Tamandua tetradactyla: one gene and its partners. The protein of the gene in region 1 interacts with the protein of each later gene in a biochemical or structural test. Links are inferred from orthologs where the notes say so. Each region holds a gene or a part of one and is shown on either strand. Other genes may lie near its edges.

Evidence for each region.
Region 2: the proteins of NF2 (region 1) and SPTBN1 form a complex in vitro, tested with the Homo sapiens proteins (2 studies listed by BioGRID and IntAct). The link is inferred for Tamandua tetradactyla from reciprocal best matches to the Homo sapiens genes NF2 and SPTBN1.
Region 3: the proteins of NF2 (region 1) and CD44 form a complex in vitro, tested with the Homo sapiens proteins (2 studies listed by BioGRID, with this or other methods). The link is inferred for Tamandua tetradactyla from reciprocal best matches to the Homo sapiens genes NF2 and CD44.

What each region holds. Positions count from the first base shown.
Region 1 is NC_135331.1:33,434,430-33,441,656, reverse strand, and holds the start of NF2 (merlin), read left to right. Parts: upstream 1-4,139; 5' UTR 4,140-5,043; coding exon 5,044-5,157; intron 5,158-7,227. UniProt on the Homo sapiens protein: Probable regulator of the Hippo/SWH (Sav/Wts/Hpo) signaling pathway, a signaling pathway that plays a pivotal role in tumor suppression by restricting proliferation and promoting apoptosis.
Region 2 is NC_135343.1:26,797,724-26,805,804, forward strand, and holds the start of SPTBN1 (spectrin beta chain, non-erythrocytic 1), read left to right. Parts: upstream 1-4,977; 5' UTR 4,978-5,141; intron 5,142-5,758; exon of another isoform or gene 5,759-5,853; intron 5,854-8,081. UniProt on the Homo sapiens protein: Fodrin, which seems to be involved in secretion, interacts with calmodulin in a calcium-dependent manner and is thus candidate for the calcium-dependent movement of the cytoskeleton at the membrane.
Region 3 is NC_135334.1:111,513,025-111,519,973, forward strand, and holds the start of CD44 (CD44 antigen), read left to right. Parts: upstream 1-3,845; 5' UTR 3,846-4,028; coding exon 4,029-4,095; intron 4,096-6,949. UniProt on the Homo sapiens protein: Cell-surface receptor that plays a role in cell-cell interactions, cell adhesion and migration, helping them to sense and respond to changes in the tissue microenvironment.

The DNA of each region.
Region 1 (7,227 bases):
TAAATGCCAGAGCCCCAGCTCTGAGGATGATGGCCTGTCCACCCAGAGCCATGGCTGCTACAGTCAGTGGTCCTTGATCAGCCCTGGACCCAGCCATCACAAGGGTGGGTCCCACAATCCTTCCTTGGTGCAAGTCCCAGTGATGTCCCAGGTAGGGGGTCAAGGTGACACATGGAGGGTGAAGCCCTCAAGTGAGGAGTAAGGGACAGAGTCTGCTTTTTTGATTGGGGCAGGACAGAAAAAGTCACCTTCCCTAATGTATGGGAAGAATTTTTGTTCTCTAGAAAAATCAGATTTGCCGAGAAGGGCAATGTTGGTGCTGACTGGTACATCGATTCAGGGGTGGGTGGGGAGGAGGAATAGGAAGAGATGTTGGGGTGGGGGCTGGCTCAGCCCTTCCAGCTTTCCTTGATGGCTAGTGCAGAGGTGCTCAGAGATTGCTGAAAAGTTCATTTTTCTTGCTCCAGTACATCTGCGGGGCCTGTTTGCAGCGGTATTTCTGATGTGTTCTGTCTTTGGCCACATCCAGGGAGATGGTGAAGTCCAGGATGGGGTCAGAGGAGGAAGAGGATGCTGTGGGGTCCTGTTCTGGGACTGTCCTGGGGATTCAGCTCCTCACTGGTATTAGACCTCCTTTTAAAAAGTTTTATTGTGGATATATGTATCACCCAATTTTCCATTTTAACCATTTTTAAGTGTACAACTCTGTGGCAGTCCCAGTCAGGATAATCTCTTTCTGAGTCACTCATCTGATTGGGGACTTTATATCTGCAAAAAATCCCTCTCACCATGCAAAGTACAAAATCACTGGTGAATATCACACATACCACAAGTCTTGCCCACCCTCAAGGGGAGCATTATTCAAGGGAGTGGGTCACTGGAGGTTATCTTACAATTCTGCCTACCATACTGCTTATCTGTGGGTTCTAATTTCCTTTTTATGAAGCATGTGAATTACTTGTAAAATAAAGAAAAACAGAATAAAAGTTACTAAAAACAAGAACAAAACAAGCAAACCAGTTGCCCATGAAAAATACAAATGCTGCAGCATAAGAGATTTCTCTGGTGGGTCTTTATAGAAAGGATGCTGTCAGAACCTTTGTCAGAATTCCTTGGGGCTAGTTCTTATTACAGCTTCTCTGCAGGACACTACCTTCGTGCCAATGTGTAGGAAAAGTAATTCTGCAAATAGCTACAATGACAATGCAGCAGTCCAGATTTAGGCAGAATGGCCACAGTCTAGAGTTCACATGTAGCATCTAGGACAAATTGACTTAATCTGGGCTCTATAGATGTGCTTTGGAGGAAACTTTCCATGAACTTCTGGAAAGCATATGCAAAATTTTGTGCATGTGTGCATTCCTTTGAGAAGGTCCACTGATTTCATCAGATTCTCGGTAGAATGTTTTTGATTAAAAAAGAGCAAAGAATCACTGCTCTAGGGCAGGGTCCCTTTATTTTGGCACTATTGATATTTTGGGTTGAATAATTCATTGTCATGGAAGCTGTCCTGTGAGTTGCAGGATCCTTAATACCATCCTGAGGCCAGGAGCATCCTCTAGCTGTGACAACCAAAAACCTTCAGACATTGCCACATGTACCCTGGGGGCAAAATCCCTCTCGGATGAGAACTGCAGTATTCTTTGGAGCTCAGAAGAAAGCTTTCTTCCAAGATGTATTAGTTAGGGTTCTCTAAAGAAACAGACTCAACAGGGAACACTCACAAATATAAAATTTATAAAAGTGTCTTATGTGACCGCGGGAATGCAGAGTCCAAAATCCACAGGGCAGGCTGTGAAGCCGACGATTCCAATGGAGGGTCTGGATGAACTCCACAGGAGAGCCTCACCAGCCAAAGCAGGAAGGATTCTTCTCAATCCTCCTTAAAAGGCTTCCAGTGATTAGATTGGGCATCACTCATTACAGAAGACACTCCCCTTTGGCTGATTACAAATGGAATCAGCTGTGGATGCAGTTGACATGATCATGATCTAATTCTATGAAATGTCCTCATTGCAACAGACAAGTCAGCACTTGCCCAACCAGACAAACAGGTACCACCACTTCGCCAAGTTGACACATGAACCTGACCATGACACAAGCTTACTCAGGTTATTGGCAAAATTCAGTTCCTTGGGGTTATAGGACTGAGAATCACTCCCCCTCCCCCACAACACACACACACACACACACACACACACACACACACACTTTGGCATGCATGAGAATCCCCTGGAGGGTTTGTTAGAACAAGGCCCCTGGGTCCCAACCCCAGAGTTTTTGATTCAGTTCTTCTGGGGTGGGGCCTGATAATTTGCTTTTCTAATTAGTTCCCAGGTAAAGCTGACAGTGCTGTTTTGAGAACCACTGGTCTTCTGGAAGAAATGGCTGAATTCGATGTAAATCAGGCTTAAATCTGGATTTAAAGCCGTCTGGGTGGAAGAGGCAGCTCTATCAATTATGATCATGGTAGAGATGATAATTACCTCATTTTAGCCATAACAGTTTCTTCCCGGATAAATCAGGGATAAAATAACTACCAAAAGGAGTTTTGGTAAAGATGAAAAGAAACAAAGTATGCAAAGCACTTTGCAGGGTGCCTTATATTGTAAGCTCTTCATGTATGGTAGCTATTGATTGGGCTCTCATCATTGAGAACATAAGCATTTCCTCATGTCCTGCATTTATTCACTCAGTAGATATTTATTAACTGGTGTCTATGTACTGGTTCTTTCTTAAGATGCTGTACCTTATTTCACTGTACCCTCCTCAAACCCTTATCTGGTGGGTATTATCATCATCTGCTTATTCTTTGTGAATGGCAATTCAATGCCTATATAATATTCCATCTAATTTTATTCCTGGCCCCTCCCTTCTGAGATTCAGACCCATAGGTATACCTGGATGATCTCCCGGAAGGTTGAATTCAAGCTTTTACCTCTAACACACAGTGCCTAGCACCTAGTAGGCCTTCCACAAATAGGAGCTATTACTGGCCACCTACGTTATTTTTTAGTCCCTGTTGTTGAATCCACCTCCTTCCTTTACTCCTCCATTAGCTCCCAGAGTCACTTATTTTCTGTCAGTAGTCTTGGCCCTGGGTTAAAGCTCTGATTTGCTGTCCCAGTGGGGAGGCCACAGGAGAATCGAGTCCTGTTCTTTCACCCGCAGGGAAGAACTGAAGCAATGAAAATGAAGACACTCCCACGCCAAGCCAGTATTGCCTAGAAAAATCAGTTCGGTGGAGACAATTTGCTAGCTGCATCCAGGACATAAAGTTAAGTTCCCCAGATGAAATCTCTCTTGGTGTGCCAGTAAATGATTGCTGAGGCAGGGCTGGTGTTTCATGGCACAGCAGGGGCTTGCCGGGAACAGCTAGATTTATCCATTATCCACTTACAGCAACAGTGTCTGGAGAGTGCTCCAGAAGTGTAATTCACGTTTCGTGGCTGCAACAGGGAGCAATTTGGAAGTCACAACCAGGGAAACATGGTCGTGACACCAGCAGGCTCTTGATCTGCGAGACCTAGGTTCAAATCCCAGCTTTGCCTCTCCCTATTCCAGTAAGTTCACAGTCTTCTACCGAGCCTCTCAATTTCTTCATCTGTAGGGCGAGAGCGATGCTAATGATTATTAACATTTAAGGAGCACTTACGGTGTGCATAACATTGCTTCTATTTGGATAGTAATGATTATTGTAAAATAGGAAAATATAATTTATTAATTTAATACAGAAAGGTGTAATTGCCTCTCACACCCGTTATAACTCTTATAATACTAAACAATAATTAATACACGTGTATAGTTCGAAGATGCAAATCACATAAAGTACAAAATGAGAAATGCTTTCAATTTTACGACAGTATTGGACCTTCAAAAACAGCAGTATCACAGCAGTCAACCTATTGTTTGTCAGACACCGTTCTAAAACTTTATATGTTAACTCGCTTAACATTGCGAGGTAGGCACATTATTATCCCCCTTCGATAATATTATCTCTCCTAAAGCGAAGCAGAGAGATCTGGCTGGATAGTGCCGACAACCTAAGAAGACTCCACAAGCGTTCTAAGTGTTCGTGAGGTCACTATATGTAATTAAGGGCCAAACAGGAATATTCAACGCGTGTCCGAAACGCACTTTCCTACGGCGCGACGCTCGCGCGTGCTGCGTCCAGAAAACAGTGCCTCAGAGGACCAGGGGAGGACCTGGCTCCCTCGCTGGAGCCAGCCCGTGCGTGGGGACGCAAGAAAGGCGCGTCGGGAGCTGACGCCTCAACCAATCTTGCTAGAGAAGGCGTGAGCCTAAGAACAAAAGTGTTCGGAGTGGCTGCTGCTCCAGCCACTCAGGGCCGAGTCCAAGCTCTGCATCTCCAGTTAGGGCGCAACTTCTAATTGATGGAGCCGCTCTGAAGGAGGCGGGACGGAGCTGGAAAGCCCCGCCTCCCTTGGAGTTTTCAACCAACCGCACAGTCGCCGGGCTCCGCAGGGTGGCCCAGCAACCGCCGGGTTCGGTTGCGCTGAGAGAGGGGCCTGAGGGCGGGGCGGGAGCGGGCTGGGGACTCGGGTGAGGGGACGCTTCTCGGGGGCGCGCGGAGCGGGAACGGTGACAGGCCCGCGCGCGCGAGCGCGTCGCTCCCGGCTGCAGCTCGGCCCTGCCACTCCGGTCGGCCGCTGAGAGGCGCGCGGGGTCTGGGCCGCCGCCGTCGGGGAGGGCCCCATTCCCGGAGGACCCGGGGGTCCCGGGCATCCCGGGCGTTCCCGAGCGCCGGGCTGCGCCCGCCCCGTTAGTACTCGCTCGCGTCCTCTACACGCGGCGGGCAGGACCCGCCCCCCGACGCCCCTTTCGGCTCCGGGTTTCAGGGTCTTCGCGGCCCATGCGGGCCGCTAGACGCCCGCGCCGCAAAGACAGCTCCCGGGCCGGCCGGCCGGCCACCATGGTGGCCCTGAGGCCTGTGCGGCTCCTCCAGGGGGGCTAAGAGATCCAGAGCGCAGGCTTCGGGGCGGGGGTGGTGGTGGCAGGGGGCCCGGACCCGACTCCCGCGCCATGGCCGGGGCCATCGCTTCCCGCATGAGCTTCAGTTCGCTCAAGAGGAAGCAACCCAAGACGTTCACCGTGCGGATCGTCACCATGGACGCCGAGATGGAATTCAACTGCGAGGTAACGCCCGCAGCCCCGACTGGCAGCGGTGAGGGGAAGCTGGGCCGAAACCCCTCTCCACCAAGCCCCGGCGCGGGGTTGGGCACCGACCGAGGCGCCGCTGCCACGGTGACAGTCCAGGTGGAAGTGTGAGGGATTCTGCTTACATCACCTGCTGATCGTAGGTAGAGAGGGTTAGAACCAGAAGGGTCTGTCTGGGCTTAAATCCTCGTGTTAAAGGTGTTTTCTCTTCCAGGGGCTTTGAGGGTTTGGGAGAACTTTCTTTCTGGAGGTTGTTTTCATTCATTGCTATTGGAAGAGGCTGGAAGCATCTGTGGCAGGGAATTATCGCTCTCAGTTTCGAGCTTAAGCTCTGAGTTTTTAACTTCATTAGGTAATGGAGTTTTTAACTTCATTAGGTAATATTATTAAGCACCCCAAGTATTGAAAGTTGCATCTTGTCTATTGGAAAGCCTGTCCTTGCTTCCTGTTTTCAAAGTTTAAATTTTCAGGAAAAGATTCTTTGACAGAAAGGATGGTGGCTTCTATTTACTTTTCACTATTACTCCAGGATGATAATAGTTATCGTTGTTGAATACTTTCTAAGTGTTAGTCATGCACAAATTTGATCTTCACAACACAAGGAGGTAGGTACAATTATTATTATCATTACCCCCCCCCAAACTATATATCTAGTAAATGGCAGAGTGGGACTTTGAACCAAGCTTTTAGTCAGCACAGTACTGTTTTCAGGTAATTAAGTTTTTGTTACTCAGAGTGTGGTCTACAGACCACAGCATCAGCAGCCTTGACCTAAGTCAGGGATTGGAAACTTTTTTTTCTGTAAAGGGCCACGTAGTAAATATTTTCGACTTTGTAGGCCATGGAGTTCTCTGTTACAACTACTGAACTCTTTAAGCCTACTGTTAAAGTGCAAAATCAGTCTTAGACAGAATTGACTTCCAGTATGACAATGGGATGGGCTCCACAGACCCACTGGGGTTCTCACCTGCCATGCTGGAGATTGGGCTTCAATTCCTTGAGCCTGCTTATGCAAAAAGAAAAAAAAAAAGGACAACAACAACAAAAACAATTATTTATTTATTTTGGCATGGGCAGGCTCCGGAAATCAAACCTGGGCCTCCGGCATGGCAGGTGAAAACTCTGCCACTGAACCACTGTTGCCCACTCTAAAAACAATTATTTTTTAGATTATTATTATTTTAACAATTATTTTTAGCTTTTGGAAATGGTCCTAAGGGTGAGTAACAAAGAAAGAAAATCTACTCAAAGTCAGTAAGAAAGACAGGCGTCTGTGGTATTTGAACCAAGACAGATCCCTCCCTCCCCACAACCAGCTCAGCAAGGTGGGACTGATAAATCCCAAGACTGGTACAGTCAAGACCACAGGGCTCCCTCTCCCTCCAGCTCGTATTTGGAGGGTTTTCTTCACGGGAGAAGCAGGACTTCAGTGTTTCAAATCCTGTCCCCAGCCACCTGTTGCTGTGGCTAAGTCCTGGGTGAATGTGGTCTAGAGGTGGTAGCTCTAGCACATGAGATGGTGGTTCCATGCCAGGAGACGCAAGCCCAGTGCAAGATGTCCCCAGTGCAAGATGTCACTAAGAGAGCTTGCTAGTATCCCCAAACCCAGTTCCAGAGCCCTAGTTCAGAATCTTTTGTCTTGGTAGGAAAAGCAGGTCATAAAACAGATGTTTCCTAATCTCTTCCCAAAGGACTGACATCGTTTGCTACAGAGCATTGAGAAGTTTGTGCCTAAGGGTGCTCTCAGAGACAGTGGTGTATGTGGAAAATATTCATGGATTTCATGAAAATTCAGCCTAGGTTGTTTGCTGGGTAGTTTTTGGGAAACAATAGGGGAATTGGACCCCTGAAGGAGCCCTTCTGTGATCTGAATAAATATCACATACTGATCTGAGAAGCTATTCCCTCAAAGGAGCCATAGTTCGATTAGGTTAGTTTGTATAGCAGTTTATTTCTCAGGGTATTGGTGAAAATAATAGACACATCAACCAGTAATTAGTGTAGCTTTATGACTGGGTATGGTCAGGGAAAGAGAGGAAGAGACCATTA
Region 2 (8,081 bases), on another chromosome or scaffold:
GGCTATTAATAGTGTTGCCATGAACATTCGTGTACAAGTTTTTGTGTGGACATATGCTTTCAGTTCTCTTGGGTGCGTTCTAAGAGTGGAATTGCTGGGTCACATGATAGCTCTATGGTTAGCATTTTGAAGGACTATTCAACTGTTTACCACAGTGGGTGCACCATTTTACATTCTCCCCAGCACCTGCATAAGGGTTCCAGTTTCTTTTCATCTTCACCAACACTTGTTATTTTCTTTCTTTCTTTTTTTTTCTTGCCATCTTAGTTGATCATGAAGTGGTATCTTGTTACAGTTTTGACTAACGACTTTGAATAAATTTTCATATGCTTGTTGGCTAGTCCTCTTCTAAATCCTTTGTCCATTTTTTAATCGGGTTGTTTGTTCTTTTTGTTGTTGAGTTGTAAGAGTGCCTTACCTATTCTGTATGCTAGACTCTTATCATATAGATATGTTTGCAAATATTTTCTCCCATTCTGTAGGTTGCATTTTCACTTTCTTGCTATTGTTCCTTGATGTACAAGAGGTTTTAATTTTGATGAAGTCCAATTTATTTATCTTGTTATTTTTGCTCATGCTTTCAGTGTTATATCTAAGAATACACCGTCAAACCCTTGGATTACATTTTGAAAGAAAAATAAAATGATAGATTTATATCTGCAAAATTACATACTTCAACATTTTATTTGGACTTGAAAATTATAAATGTACATTCATCTGCTAATCTGTTGATTAACAAAGAGTTTCTCTGATTATGTTTACTGAGTGAAAGGCCACCTCCTTTTCACATAAGCCATGGCTATATGATATACAGTTCTGTTTTCTTTAAAGTTGAATAAGAACTTAGAGATATTTGCAAAGCAATCTGACTGTTCAATATTTCAAAACTTTTGTACTTTCCATTCTCCCCCAATTTTTTACTATCTTCCTCACACATAATCTAATGGCAGTATTTTTTGCCTTTAATCAGATATTTCAAAAGTATACAACTTAGTTTTTTCTGAAAGAACTCTGACACTCATATCTCATTAGTTTATGTAATACTTAGTTCTAAGTATGACTGGCATAAACAAATTTGGGAACAAACTCAACTGACTTAGTAAATATATAGCTCAATGGGTGGAAACAGAAATGCATGGGTGTACCAGCATCTAACCTACTTGCTGAGTGGGGTTAGTGTACCATGGACATCAGCCAATGTGCTTGCTACACTGAGGTTTTGGAATAGAGTTAAGAAAGTTTCTCCTCTCCTATTCTAGAGGTCTAAATCCAGAATTACTTTAAAATAATTAATATGCAATGATCAAGCACACAATGCCCTGACACGCTACCTTCTAAGCAGGTGCCTCTGGCCTAATGATTGGCTGTGTCAACTTGGGCAACGAATGTGACCACCAGTGCCTCAGTTTTCTCATCTCTAAAATGGGGCTGATATCTGATAAAAGAGCAAAATACGATGATATTTGCTAAAACTCTGTAAACTGGAGAGCATATTATAGTTGCTACTTAGCATTAGAACGCTGAGACTAATTATCCTGATTATTTTATGAGTATTTATTTCTAAATATTTGTGTCACATTATATTCAGATTTGTCATTATACGCATAGTCTACTTATTTATGGATTGATGGAACCCCATACTAGAACGAAGGATCCATGAAGGTAGTTAGCTTTCACTGTTTTGCCCATTACTCTATTTCAGAGCCTAGAATAGTATAAGGCTATTAATTCATATTTGTTGAATAAGTGAGAGAATGAATTGTTTTATAAAACAGCAAATGTGTTGTTAGTGCTCAAAAATACTCATTCATGAGTAATGATGGTTTAAACATATCAGTCTTTAGATAGTCCTAGTATAAAATTAATGTGTGGAAATCCAAATGAAATATTTCTGATATAAGGAAACTTTCCAGACTAGCTGTGTTAAAAAGATGTCAATTTTAGAAAGTATGTAAAAATTAAGAAAATTTATTCAAATTTTCAAATTTTGTCCTGATTGTAAAATTTTAGGCTACAGGCACAACAGAAGACAAGTTTTAATTGGGTTAATATAATATAAATAAGGAAATTACCATTCCCTTTTCTCTAAATAAAACATGTAGCTGCCAATACTGCTATTCTCCAATATCTCATTTCCCCTTTCTAGGCACAAGGAGGGTTGTACATTTCTGGTGCTTTAAAGCAATGTACAGCCATGTAAATTGATTTTTCAAATTAAATGTGGATGGAAGTGACCACGTGTCATTTTTGTGTAGAAGCATTTCATTGCTGGAGCTTAACCCTTCATCACACTTTTCTCTTACAATGGAGATTGGGGAAGCATGCCAAGACATGGACATACCATACTATTAAAGTGTTCTAGAATGCTGAGCTGACACGTGGAGAGGACAGTTTCTCCAGATAGTTGCTTGAAACCATGATTGACTTTGCATAAGCAATAAATTAACTTTCTTTGTGTTAAGCAACTGGGATTTGGGAATTGTTTGTTATCGCATCATATCCTAGAGTGTACTGATATATATATTGACAAGATTTTCATTTATACTTTGAAAGAAAAGTTAAAATGACAACTTATATCTGCAAAAACTTTTAATAAAGTGTTATTTCCATGGTTGTTATAGATATAACAATGATGAATCCTAGCTTCCTCTAAATGAATTTTGATTCTAATGTGAGGATAAACCCCTCAGCAAAGCTACTTCTGAGATAGTTGGGAATAATCATTTGGAGTTATCATCATTACTGCCTAAGGTCTTTAATCTCTTTCTAGATTCCTGCCTTCCACGGAGATGTCTTCTTGAACAATCTCTCCAAATTTGAACCGTCTTTTCTTTGCCTATATTTCTTTTTGGTCAATGGGTAATACATTTTTTTCCACCAAAGGTAAAATTCAAAATTGTGAGGCAGGTATTTATAGTGAAGTCTGAATACTTGCTTTTCACTTTTTTTGAAATATTAGAGTAACTTGTTAAGTTCGTGTGTGCCCTCTCTCTTGTGAAGGAAATTAAGAAACTTAAGTGGGAGTAGAATGGGGTAGGGAGGTGATTCATCCATCAAATGACGATTTATTCAAGTACTCTCTGTGGTAAAGGAAAACACTTAAAAGTCATCAACTCAGAATAATATTGGAAGAATTTAAGCTGAAGCATTTCCCAGTGTTGCCATTGTTTTCTTTGGTATTTTATTAACATTGTGGGTGGGGAGGTGCTAGAGGCTGTGACTTAAATAAGTGAAAGGGAAACAACTTTCATCCCTAGTGGATTCCTGGTATTTCCTCTTGAGGGTAGCTTACATCTTGATTCTCTTTGATTCCTAAATGCCTGCTCTGTGCAAGGTGAAAAGCTCTCCTGTCGTCGGGGAGTTCCCCTTCTGTTTGTGTTGATCAACCTTCTGAGAAAAATGTTAAAGTATCTGCCTTCCTCGATCTCTTTCATATATATCAAAAGTCAACCTTTGTACAAACATTCATGCCATGATGAAGGCCTGAAAGGAAGAACTATCTTTAGTTTGTTGGGACAATTTCATTTCATCTTATTCACAAATAATTCATTTTAAAATACACTTAGAAATATAAAACCATCAGGTCTCGACTTTATTGATTGGAGACATAAGCCTGATCCAAACTGAGTCAAAAGCCTGTTTTGTTTTTTTAAACTTATTTTTTTTTAATTGTAAAAAGTCTGTTTTTGAGGGTGGATCTTTAGGGGGGAAAGGTCTGGAGCTTTTTCAACCAAGGAAAGTGCTCTGAAGGGGCCACAGCACTGCGTAGGCCGTCACAGAGCAGGGAGAAAACCGGTGTCCGTGAGGCTGTTTTCTAAAGAGCGCTTCTGTGATGACACCACCTTCCCTCCCCAGTGGCTGCGGCTCCAAGGTTTATACACAGCCTGGGGGGCTGACGGGGTGGGTCCGCTGGCTGTAAAGAGGACCTGCACTTGACCCAAACGTCGGATGTCTGTCTCAGGGAATGGGGGTTGGGCGAATTCAACCCCCAAGCCACCCCTGGGGCGTCTCCTGCAGCCAGGGCGCCACCAGTCCCGAGGAGTGACTCCGGAAGGGGACCGGCCTCAGGTTAAAGCTCAGCTTTTGCGTTTGGGGGGAGAAGCAGGAGAAGGATGAGCTTTTTGAATAGGGTCAGTTCCCAGCTACCCTGCCGGCAAGGGTGAAAAAGCATTCACGAAGAAGGGTCTCTACTTGGTAGAGGAACAAACCCCATTTCCCCCTTCGCCACAGGTTTCCCCATCTCCCTTCTCCAGGCTGGGCGGAAACTACAAGGCATCACCACCCAGATCCAGGACTAACCAACCAGAGGACACTAAAGCCTCCCTAAACACACGACAAACGCGACAACATCAAGGGCGAAAAGAGGCTGCCCAAGTCACGTAGAAAATTAAGCTGCCCCTTTCCCCGGCGATAATCGAATTAGCCTGAAATTAAACGTGAAATTGGCCCTCGCCGGCTGTGAGAACAAAGCTCCCATTGTCCCTTTGCCCGGGTAGCGGCAGCGGCGGTGCCCACCGCGCCAAGGCCACTCCTGGCCGGTCCCCGCGGCAGGGGGCGAGGTCGGTCCGCGGCCGCGGAAGAGCCCAGGCTTGGGAGAGCGTGGACGCGCCCGAGGCTCGGCTCCGGAGCGGAGCAGGAGCTCAAGCAGGCGTCTTCGGGGCTCGGGGTAGACGAGAGGGAGGAAGCCAGGGTGGAGGCTGAGTGGAGGCTGTGCCGGAGACACTCGTGTACGCGTGCGTGCGTGCGTGTGTGTGTGTGTGTGTGTGTGTGTGCGCGCGCGCGCCCGGCGCCCGCGCCTCTCCCTCTCTCCGCCCCTCGCCCCCCTCCGGGCCTGCCTGCTCTCCCCCCTCCCTTCCCTCCTCCCCGCCCTCTCCCCGCCCTCCCCCCGCGCTCCCGCCCAGCCCCCGGAATCAGTGCAGCTGTTGCCGTGCAGGCTGCGGATTCCTCCAGTCCCTCCCTCCGCCGCCTCTCCTCCCGGAGCGAGCGCGCAGCCCCGCGCAGTAGCGCCCACCGGTCCCGTCCTGTGAGCCCCGGCCCCCGCCGCGGACAGCCCCGCGTAGTCGCCTCCCGGCCCACCCGCCCGGCCGCCGAGGAGCCGGAGGAGGACGGGACCCCGGCGCCCCCCAGCCCACCCTCGGGAGGTAGGTAGGGGGGTTGAGGCTGGAAGATGCCAACTCACTGGGGCTGCGTCCCGGGCGGGCTCCGCGGCGGCGGCGGTGGGCGGGAGGAAGGGCGCGGGCCCAGGACCGGGGAGACGCTGCTGTCCCGCCGCTGCCCTGCTCCCGGGGGTGCGGGGTGGGGGCAGGAAGGCTGTGGACCCGGGCGGAGGCGGCGCGGGGAGCCTGGGGCTCAGATGCTTATTAGTACTCGGGTTTTTCGGGGCGTGGGGCGGCGAGCTCCGCAGAGGCAGCTCCAGATGCACCGTGCTCAGCGCGGCTGCTCGGCCCCATCCCCGGGTGCAGCAGTGCCGATTCCTCCTCCCTGTCTCCGCCGCCTCCTCCCTGCAATCGGACGCAGCGGTCTCTGGAGAGGGCGTGGGTGGGGAGTGGGCAGCCGCGAGGTTATATTTTCGGGTGCCCTCCCCGCAACCCCGGCGGGTGGCGAGCGGGGGCGGCTGTGACAGGGCCGGGCGCTGAGCGTAGCAGGACTGGGGATGCGGCCAGGCGTGGTCCGGGCTGCACCGCGCTGCAGCTGAGCCGGAGGCGGCGACCGGCGGATCCCTCCCCGCCCCCCCCCCCGGTCCCCCACCCTCCCTGCCGTTCCCACTCTCCTAGGGCTGGGCGGGAGCTGCCTTCGGGCGCGGAGCCGCCCCTGCGTCCGCCTTTCGGCTCCGGACACAGGGCCCCTCAACAGGTTTGTACCGCTACGGGGGTCCCTCTGGGTCTGTTTTGGGGTGGTGGACTGGAAGCCCGTCTCATCATTCCCCATCCAATACCTGCAACCCTCTTTTTGGAGTATGCCTTCCCTTTGTTTTTTTGTATTTTTTTTTCTTTATGATAGGAAAGGGAAAGGTGCCAAGTGCCTGCCATCAGATGGGGGTGGTGGGGAAGGAATCAATACCCAAACCATGTCCATTATTTCCCAATCAAAAGCCACGCCAGACCGTAAGTGAGGAAGAGGGCGAGTGTGGTGTGTTTCGGCGGAAAAGAAAAATGGATTCGATGAGATTTCTTTGGGAGGAGGGATGTGCATTTTTGGCAAGATGGATGGCTCCCGGTGCCCTCGCCGTGATGCAGCACAATGCAGCAGTATCGCAGCCTTCCCTGGTTCTCGCTGCCGGGCTTGGCACGCCACTGGGCGCCTGCGGCCCGCGCCCGGCCCCACCCAGGCCCGGGCTGCCCTTGTCTGGGGCCCGGAGCGGCATCCACCTTGGCTTGCAGCTTCAGCTGACATGACGCCACAGAAGGACCAGGTCACCTAGGTGTGAGAGGGTAGAGAGTCTTCCCCACCGAGGCGACGCCTCCACCCCGCCTGTTGGGCTGAGCTCGACCAGGGGGAGCCCCTCTGCGCTAATACAGGCAGATCCGGCGGGCCTGCGGGTCCGAATCCGAACCCGGAGCCAGGACCAGAGCCGTAGGGAGGGGCTGCAGGAAGGACGGGGCCGAGTGGCGAGCGGAGGCAGTGGTGCAGTCAGCCTGGGAAGTCGCAGCCTCTCAGTGGATATCCAGTAATCTGTACCCACACCCCAGCTATGCATCAATTTTTTTGTACCTGAAAAGTTGATATTTATTAATTGGACCTTCACAGCTATGACATTACAGTACCTCGTCTGACTTTGGCCAGTACTCAGAATATGAGTTTTTCCTATAGAAAACCACTTTTTAAAAATTAAATGATTGAAATATTTTAATTCTTATGCATCTGATACATTTATAAAAATGTTAGTATTAAGTAGGTTGTTTTAGAAGGGATATATAGATCCCTTTTAAATATATACATTATTTTGATGGGTAATAAATGATTCCTTTTAACTATAGATGCTTTGTTTTGATCATTTGCTTTTCTTGTAAATCAAGTATAATTACGTATTTGGATTCTTTATCAAGGATTAATAAAGGATTAATGATATGTAAGTGATTAATGAGAAGTGGTATTCAGAGTTCTACTGATGTAGATAGCCAAGTTAAGTCTCCAGGCATGACTAACAAAATTATCATGTTAACTGTATTTATGTTTGATTCTGTGTATTTTTGTATGCATATTTTTTCAGGTACCAGAGCACGAGAATGCAGCTGGGGCAGGCGGGTTGAGAAGGGCAGACCACAAAGGTCTGGTATCTGGTCAGAAGGAGATGGTTCTCGGTGTTCTTATCTTTGTTGACACACAGTGAATTTCTCTTCTAAATGCCATGCCTATAATTCACTTGTTCAGAGTGGGATGGCAAGTGGGATACATTTCATATGTCACCCTACACTCATCTAAGATGTGTAGGTGAAAAAGGATATTTCAGTAGGCTAACTGGAAGGGAAGGTCAGTGTTTCAAAGCCAAAGGTGTGTCTACTTTTATTCTTTTAATCTGTAATGAATCCAGGTTAGCAGTATTTGATTTACGGGGCTCTGCAAAGCAGAACTGAATGTCAGTTGTGTGGTTTATGTGCATTATTTTGAGTTTCTCTAATAGAGGGCCATTAAAATATGGTAATTTGTGGATGTGGGTTTCCTTATTGTGCTGGTTGTGTAAAATCGTGCTGCACAAGGCTGTTTGCCACTATTGTTTCTACTGGTTGTCCAGGACATTTCAGATTGATTGTGTTGTAGGAAACATCCTGTGTTGATGTCAGAGGAGGTCTAACTGTTCTGATTTACACACCAGGTGCAGAATTCTGTTTAAGCTCTCTGTAACTCTGTCGTTTCTGGATTGACAAAAACCTTCATCTGAGAATGAGAAGCACTGGAGCAGTGAAAGTGCTGCTGTCACTTGGTTGTCTCTTGGTGTTGAGGCTTTCTCTGAAGAATATCTGTTGGGTGAGACTAGTAACAACTGAGACGTTGTAGAAGCCAAGTGAGAAGACCTCACCATCTACTTGTGACACATCCTGAGCAGAGACTTGGCATTGGCAGAGTTTCCTGACAGAGAGAGA
Region 3 (6,949 bases), on another chromosome or scaffold:
AAGATTTATTACAAGTCAGAAATCATCATGCCCCAATATTTTAGGGGGAAAAAACCCTAATCTGCTAAAATAAGCCGTGCTCTTGCTCCGTGTGGTCCTTCCTAAACCAGCCACCCCAGAGATGATAGTACTGGTTGCATTTGTTTAGAAATTGTCGAGATATTTAAGTGCTTCCACCTATTAGCTCATGGGATTCCTGAAATAACCTTCTAAAGTATGGCAGGAGGGAAAAGAACAATGGCTGTTCACGCATTTACATAACGCTTATTGTTTGAGCTCTTACCGTAGTCAAGACACTGGGAACTGAGGATGTAGTGATGCCTAAGACAGACATGTCCCTGTCTGGGGTTGAAAGCCTGTGGGGTCATTGAGTTCCCCCATGAGGCAGGCCCTTAGTAAAGGGTATTGATGCAGACATCACAAACTGTGAGAAAGGTTTTATTAACCTCATTTTGTAGGTGAGATAACCGAAACCACTAGAGGTTGGGTCTGAGTAGGGTCATTTGGCTGATAAGGGTGAGAGCTCACGCTCTCGGCTTTCTCGGTCCAAGGCTGCTGATCATGCTGGACTTTCTCTAAACCAGATGATTCATGTCAACCCACATCAATTCAAACTTTTTTCCCCAGTTTCCCACATCCCATGGCTTGGTTTAGAAAGGTATCTGATACAACACAAAACAGATACTGAGCAACTAAAATGAATAACTTTCATGAGTTTACTCTTACAGGGCTCAAAGGAGAGCAAGGGAGGGTCTTTGTGTAACCAGTGGGAGGTGCTGAGGGGTGAGCAGGAGGGGATGTTTGGGGCGGAAAGTGGATGAGAGGGGACCTCAGAGAAGTGATCCAGGAAGTCCCAAAGGCTGGCCCTGACTCAGTAAGTAACCAGATTGATTATTTGAAATGAGTCATTTGTGGCATGGGGGCAAACAACCTCAGTCCCTCACTAAATTATCGGGAAGCAGGAAGGCAAAATATCCTCCCCTGGGAGAACGATCCTAATTACAATCCTTAGAATTTGCATGCCCCTTTATAGTCTGTAAAGCATTTTCATACCTGTTTTTACATTTGCTGATTGTTTTCTGCAGAAAGGACCAGGTTTCAAGATGACCTAAAATAGTGATTTTGCATTTTTTTTTTCCATTTTGTCAAAATGAACTCTCACACCGTGCTGTAGTATATAAAACAAAAACAGTGGAACTGCTATCGTTGGAATGGAAGCAGAGAGAAATACAGTTTCTAACTAACGCCCACCCCATCAGATAAGGAAAGATGAAACACGTGGTGTCCAAGCTCTTGCCCATGGAGGCCACTGGGGCTGGTTTCTCAGGTGGTCGGCTGATTGTTTCAGAAAAGTGTCCCGTTGGTCACAACAGCAGGACCAAGCTTTCCTGCTACTGGTAGCACTTTTTGAAGTGGCCTCTCTTTGGGTGGGGGCCCAAGGACACTGCCTTCGTTTCACGTAAGTGACCCTTTGACTTGGAGAATGCAGCCACCAAGTGGTTGGGAAGCAGGACCAGACAGCAAGTTTCAGCCCAAATCACCCTCCCTGGAAAGGTCCTTCTTGAAACCTGCATTCAAACAGACTCTCCCCAGCATGGGAACTGACACTGACTCCCTACTTCCCTACAGGATCAAGTTCAAATTCCCTGGCAGAGCTTACATCCCAGCCCCGCCCACCTCTCTCACCTACTGTCTTCTTGTTCCCTTCCCAACCTCTTCATCTGATCTAACATGGTAGTCATCAAACTGCACTCCACTCCCTGAACAAGCCATGCTCTTTTACTTTTCCATAAACACACACAATTTTGTTATTAATAATAATAGCAAACGCCCATAGAGTGCTTTCTATATAGAGCACTTTTCATTTATTTGATCTTCACAACACTTCTGTGTAGCAGACACAATTTTGAACCCCATTTTAAAACATGAGGAAATTGAGGCGCAGAAAGGACCAGTTCAAGGTCGCAGAATTAGGATGCAGTCAGGCCGCAGTTTGAACCCAGGCATTCTGATTCCTAAATTCTTGTTATTAATTACTACAGAGGACTGCCTCTTGATGCTTTGCCCCTGCTATTTCATCTGAAGAATTCTTACTCCTCCTTTGAGACCCAGGCTTAAATATCACCTCCACCGTGAAGCCTCCCTGGTGTGTTCCCCTGCAGAGATTGTGACTCCCTTCTCTAGGGTTGATGGCATTCTACACACACATTTTGCAGCACATATCACATTGAGTGGGAACAGCTTTCATGAGTTGGATTGCTGGCCAGAGTTGGGACCCCTGAACACAGGGCCAGGTCTTATATATCTCGAGAACCTTGGGCACTCAGTATATGGTTGGTGAATGAATGGGTAGGTGGATGCCTGGGTACATTTTCTCCAAACCTTCCCATTCCCTTCAACAAATAACAAATTCTTAGTTTTCCTCAGAAATTCCTGCATGTTCTCTTCAGGACCATGCCCCAGCCACTGAAAACCACAATAGCTTTCTGTGTGAACCAGGTGACAAATCATTCAGCTTTACTTTTAACAGTTCACATTAAAAATAAGCACTGCTTTTGATTTCCAAATATTAAATCATAGTATATGATAGATATATACATAATTCTGAAGTGAGATATGAGTTTTCAAACTCAAAATGCCTCCACTAAAGAATGTGACAATCACCTCCTCTCGTTGATATTTGCTGAATAGGATAGTTGAGGGTCAGCAGATTAATGCCTGTATGGATAGATAGGAGTGTGAAGGGGAGCAAGGAAGAATGGACAGGATGTGTGGATGGACGAGAGGGTCCCTATTGAAATATGGATAAGTGGATGATGGACAAAGTATATACAGATGAATGGATTTGTGGGTGCACGGATGGAGAAGAGGATGGTAGATGGATGGCTGTAGGTTTATGCAGAGATGTGAAAATGATGTATGGAATGATGGACGAGAAGGCATACGGGAGGATGGCGGGAGAATTTGGGCAAACGGATGGAGAAAAGAAAGGGTGTGTGGTCGGATAAATGGATGGGAGAAAAATGGTGAATAAATATGTGAGGAGTTGAGCAAATGTGGAAAAGATGGGTGGATGGAAGTATGAGGGGAGGATGGCTGGATGGGGGCACGAACAGATGTGGGGGCATGGAGAGGACGGGAGAAAAGATGGGTGGATGGATGGATGGTGGTGGGGACGGATACTCGGGAGGATGAATGAGTGTGTGTGGGTGGACGGGTAGACTGGAGGGTAAACTCGTGGGTTTAGCCGAGCCGATTCATCAGCCCCATGGTTGGCCATCACTAGCTTGCCTTGAGCAAAAAATCCACCCAAGTGAGGTGGGCTTTGCTTCTATTTGAGGGGAAGAAGCCTGTGCTCTCCCTCCCTCCTCCCACCCCAGGAGTGTCACAACCTCTCCTTCCCTCCCCCTGGGAGGGGGGCACCACCGTCCAGTGCAAGGGCCTCATCTCTGATCTGGCTCCTCTTCCAGGGTATCCCGTTGCCTGAGAAATCCAGCAAGAACCATTCCCAGACAGATGCGGAGAGAAGCTCTGAGGACAGGAGAGGCCAGAGCGCGAACCTAACGGGGCGAAGTTTCAGGACTCGGTCATCTTCGTTCCTTAAGCCGCCACTCAGCTGGCCTGGAGAAGAGAGCCGGCCGGCCCTGGGGGGCGTGGGTTGGGGGACTGCGAGCCCCCCGAGGCCCCCGGCGCCCCCCAGGAGCCCTGAGCTACGGTCTCCCCAGGAAACCGGGCGGGGATGAAGAGGCCCGCGCCAAAGAGGGCTGGTACGTCTTTAAACCTCTGCTTAGTCACAACCCCTCGCTTGGGTGTGTCCTGCGCTCGCGCCCTCCCTCCCTCTTAGGTCACTCTTTCAGCTCCTGAATAAAAACTGCAGCCAACTTCCGAGGCGGCCTCATTGCCCAGCAGGACCCCCAGCCTCTGACAGGTTCGGTCCTCCCTCTTCGCCCCGTCCTCCGCCGCCCCCCGCCCCGCGCACCGGGACCCTCCAGCTCCAGTCGCTTGCTCTCTCGGTTCGCTGGGACCCCATGGCCACGTTCTGGTGGCGCGCAGCCTGGGGGCTCTGCCTCATGCAGCTGAGCCTGGCGCAGATCGGTGAGTGCCCGCCCGAGCGGGGCAGCGGGAGGGGGCGCCAGGAGAGCGCGGGAGCCGCACGCAGCCCCGCAGCCCCGCAGCCCCGCAGCCCCGAGCCCCGCAGCCCCGCAGCCCCGAGCCCCGCAGCCCCGCAGCCCCGCAGCCCCGCAGCCCCGCAGCCCCGCAGCCTCGCAGCCCAAGTGGGTCCTCGGGGATCCGGAGGCGAGCGACCTGGATTTGGCTAAGGAAAGCCGGGCTGCGATGTGCGCTAAGCAGTAGGCGCGTGTGTTGGTGGGAAGTACCGTTTTGTTGAAAGCAAAGAGAAAGCGAGAAGAAAAGTTTGTTGGGCAGGTTGCCGGCGCGCAGAGATCTGGGTGAGGTCGCTAGAGCCGAAGCACATGGCAGAAAGTAACTGCGCTGGATGTGTGCAGCCGCGTGTCCCAACTGACAGGCTCCTTTGCCCAAGGGCGCTGGAAGCCCGGGCTGAGCTGTGTGTGCCCTAGCAAAGCAAGGCCAGAGGCTGGGGCAGGGACAGGGGACAGGAGCTGGCTTAGAGGTAAGGCAGCGGCAGAGACTGACACAGAGGCAGGTCAGGGGCTGTGGCTGGGAGCAGGAGCTGTTGGCAAGGTGGTCACGTTTGCGTATGAGAGAGCCCGTGACAGTGAGCTTTTTAGAAAGGAGACCTAGATCCCTGGAGCTCCCCACTGCGGCAGGGCTCTAAGGCTCTTAGGGTCAGCTGCAGTCACTGCTGGGCTAGAGAGCTTTTTGGGAACTTGAACTGGCTTAGCAGGAGGTCTCTCGGAGCTCCCGGAGGTGCCACTCCGGACTGGGGATGTGAGTAACAGATGGAACCACTGGGCGACCTGTTCAACCCTTGCAGCCTCCTATTTCTAGTTAGTCTGGGGAATTCTAAACGGAGAAGATGAGCCTCAGCAGCGCGGAGAGGAGCTTGGGCACTAGAGTGGAATCAGAGACTCTGGAGCTGGGGCTGCCATGCCCGGTGCAAATAGGGGTTGAGCCGTTGAGAACAGTGGAAGGGAGGGGCTGTGCGTGTGAAGTGTTCTAGCCCAACTGAACTCCAAGCATCCCCTTTTTTATCTTTATATGTGCAGATAATTACATGGCCGATTTACTTATCGCTAGCAAAATTAATTTTTCTTTTAAGCAGTGCCAGCTGGGTCATTAAGATAGCCCAGCCAACGGTTAATTCTACTCAGCAAGAACTTATTAAACCTAATTCTGGAGATACCAACAAAGTAAAAGACACAGTCCCTCCCTGGTATTTCAAACTGAGGATATGGCAATCCAAATTTCCTAAATTTAGGAAATCTAAATTTAGGATTTAGATTTCCTAAAACAAAAGATCATAATAATAGCAACAATAGCAATAGCCACCGTTTATTGGACGCTTCGGCTGTCCCAGGCACTCTGTAAAGCCTTTACATTTCTTATCTCATTTTACCCTCACAATGACCCAGTGAGAAGGTCCTGTTATTATCCTGCTTTATAGGAGGGAAACGGAGGCTCAGAGAGGTTAAGTGGTATGCCCGTATCATAGCAAGGAGTATGACTGGATTTGAGCCCATGTCTGCTGAGTTTCAAAGCCTGTACTTCATTGGAATATGTTGGATTGTGTGAAATGGACAAACTCAGAAAGGATTTCAGGGCAGAAAGGGTTTGGGTGGACCAGAAGCCTTCAGGAGGCTTCCAAAGGGAACTGGAGCTCCAGGGGCCCTTGAAAAACAGGAATGCCTAGGATGGGAGAGAAGAGAGAACTTGATGGCAGGAGGAGCCCTGGGTCTGGCTTCAGAGACAAGTACTGTGGGTGGATTCCCCGTGGCCGCCAGAGAAGTTTATTTACAAGTTACCTGCTGGACTGTCTTGGGCTCTGTCTCTGAGGATTCTGACTCCTCACGCCTTCCAACCTCATCTCCCTGATTTGTCTAAAGGGTCCCACCTCCAAATACCTGGCACCCTGACCCTGAAGCTTCTCTTGGAGAGCAGCAGGCTCATTTGAGCCCCATGTTTCCACAGTCCCTTTGGGCAAAGTCATTTAGAGGAAACCCAATGAAGTGCCAGTAGCAATAACTGCCTCGGCCTGGCTTTCATGTGCTTGTAAAGTTGTTTGGAAGGAACTGAGACTTGGAAAGGAGACATGATTTCACAGAGGGCTTGGGGCTGGGCGGCGGAGGTGAGGCGGAGGCAGAGGAGTGGGGAAGGAAAGGCGGAGCTGTTGCCCCATTCTGGGGAGTGGCGGGCTTTGGGAGACAATGAAGAAACTTTGGAAGGGACAAGATTTGAGGAGGAACTGGAAAGCAAGAAGTGGAGAAGTGGCCAGATAAGTTAAGCAACATTGAACACCAAAACCCTCGGAGTTGGGGAGCAGGTGTCTTGAACTAGGCATCCTTTGCAGGAAGAAGAAAATTGCTCCAGGGAGAGGCGAGGCAGGGTGAGCCCTGAGCCTTCTGTGAGCACACGAGGTCACTGTTAGGGAATTGCGCCCCTGGTGTTGAGAAGGGAGGTTGCATCTGCGAGCCTAGGATGTGGGGGCTGCATGCCTCTTTCTGCTCCCGCTGAGTATTAGAGACCCCTCCTCTTGCTGGGCCTTAGGGCTTCCGTTGTGTTTTCCCAGGTGAAGAGATAAGGAAACCAATCTTCATCTCTGCTGAGGTTAGCATCACTTAATTCAGTTATTCCCCAGACATCTATTTCCTTTAAAGGCCCAGTGCCAAATATGTTTGATGTTAGCAGCCAGTAGGAAAAGCTTCCATTTTCTTGCAAATTGCCCTCAAAGGATCCCCTCCCCTTCATTCACGAAATATTTCCTGACTCCCTGTGATAGATTCAAAGATAGGGACTCCGAGGATCCTTTAGA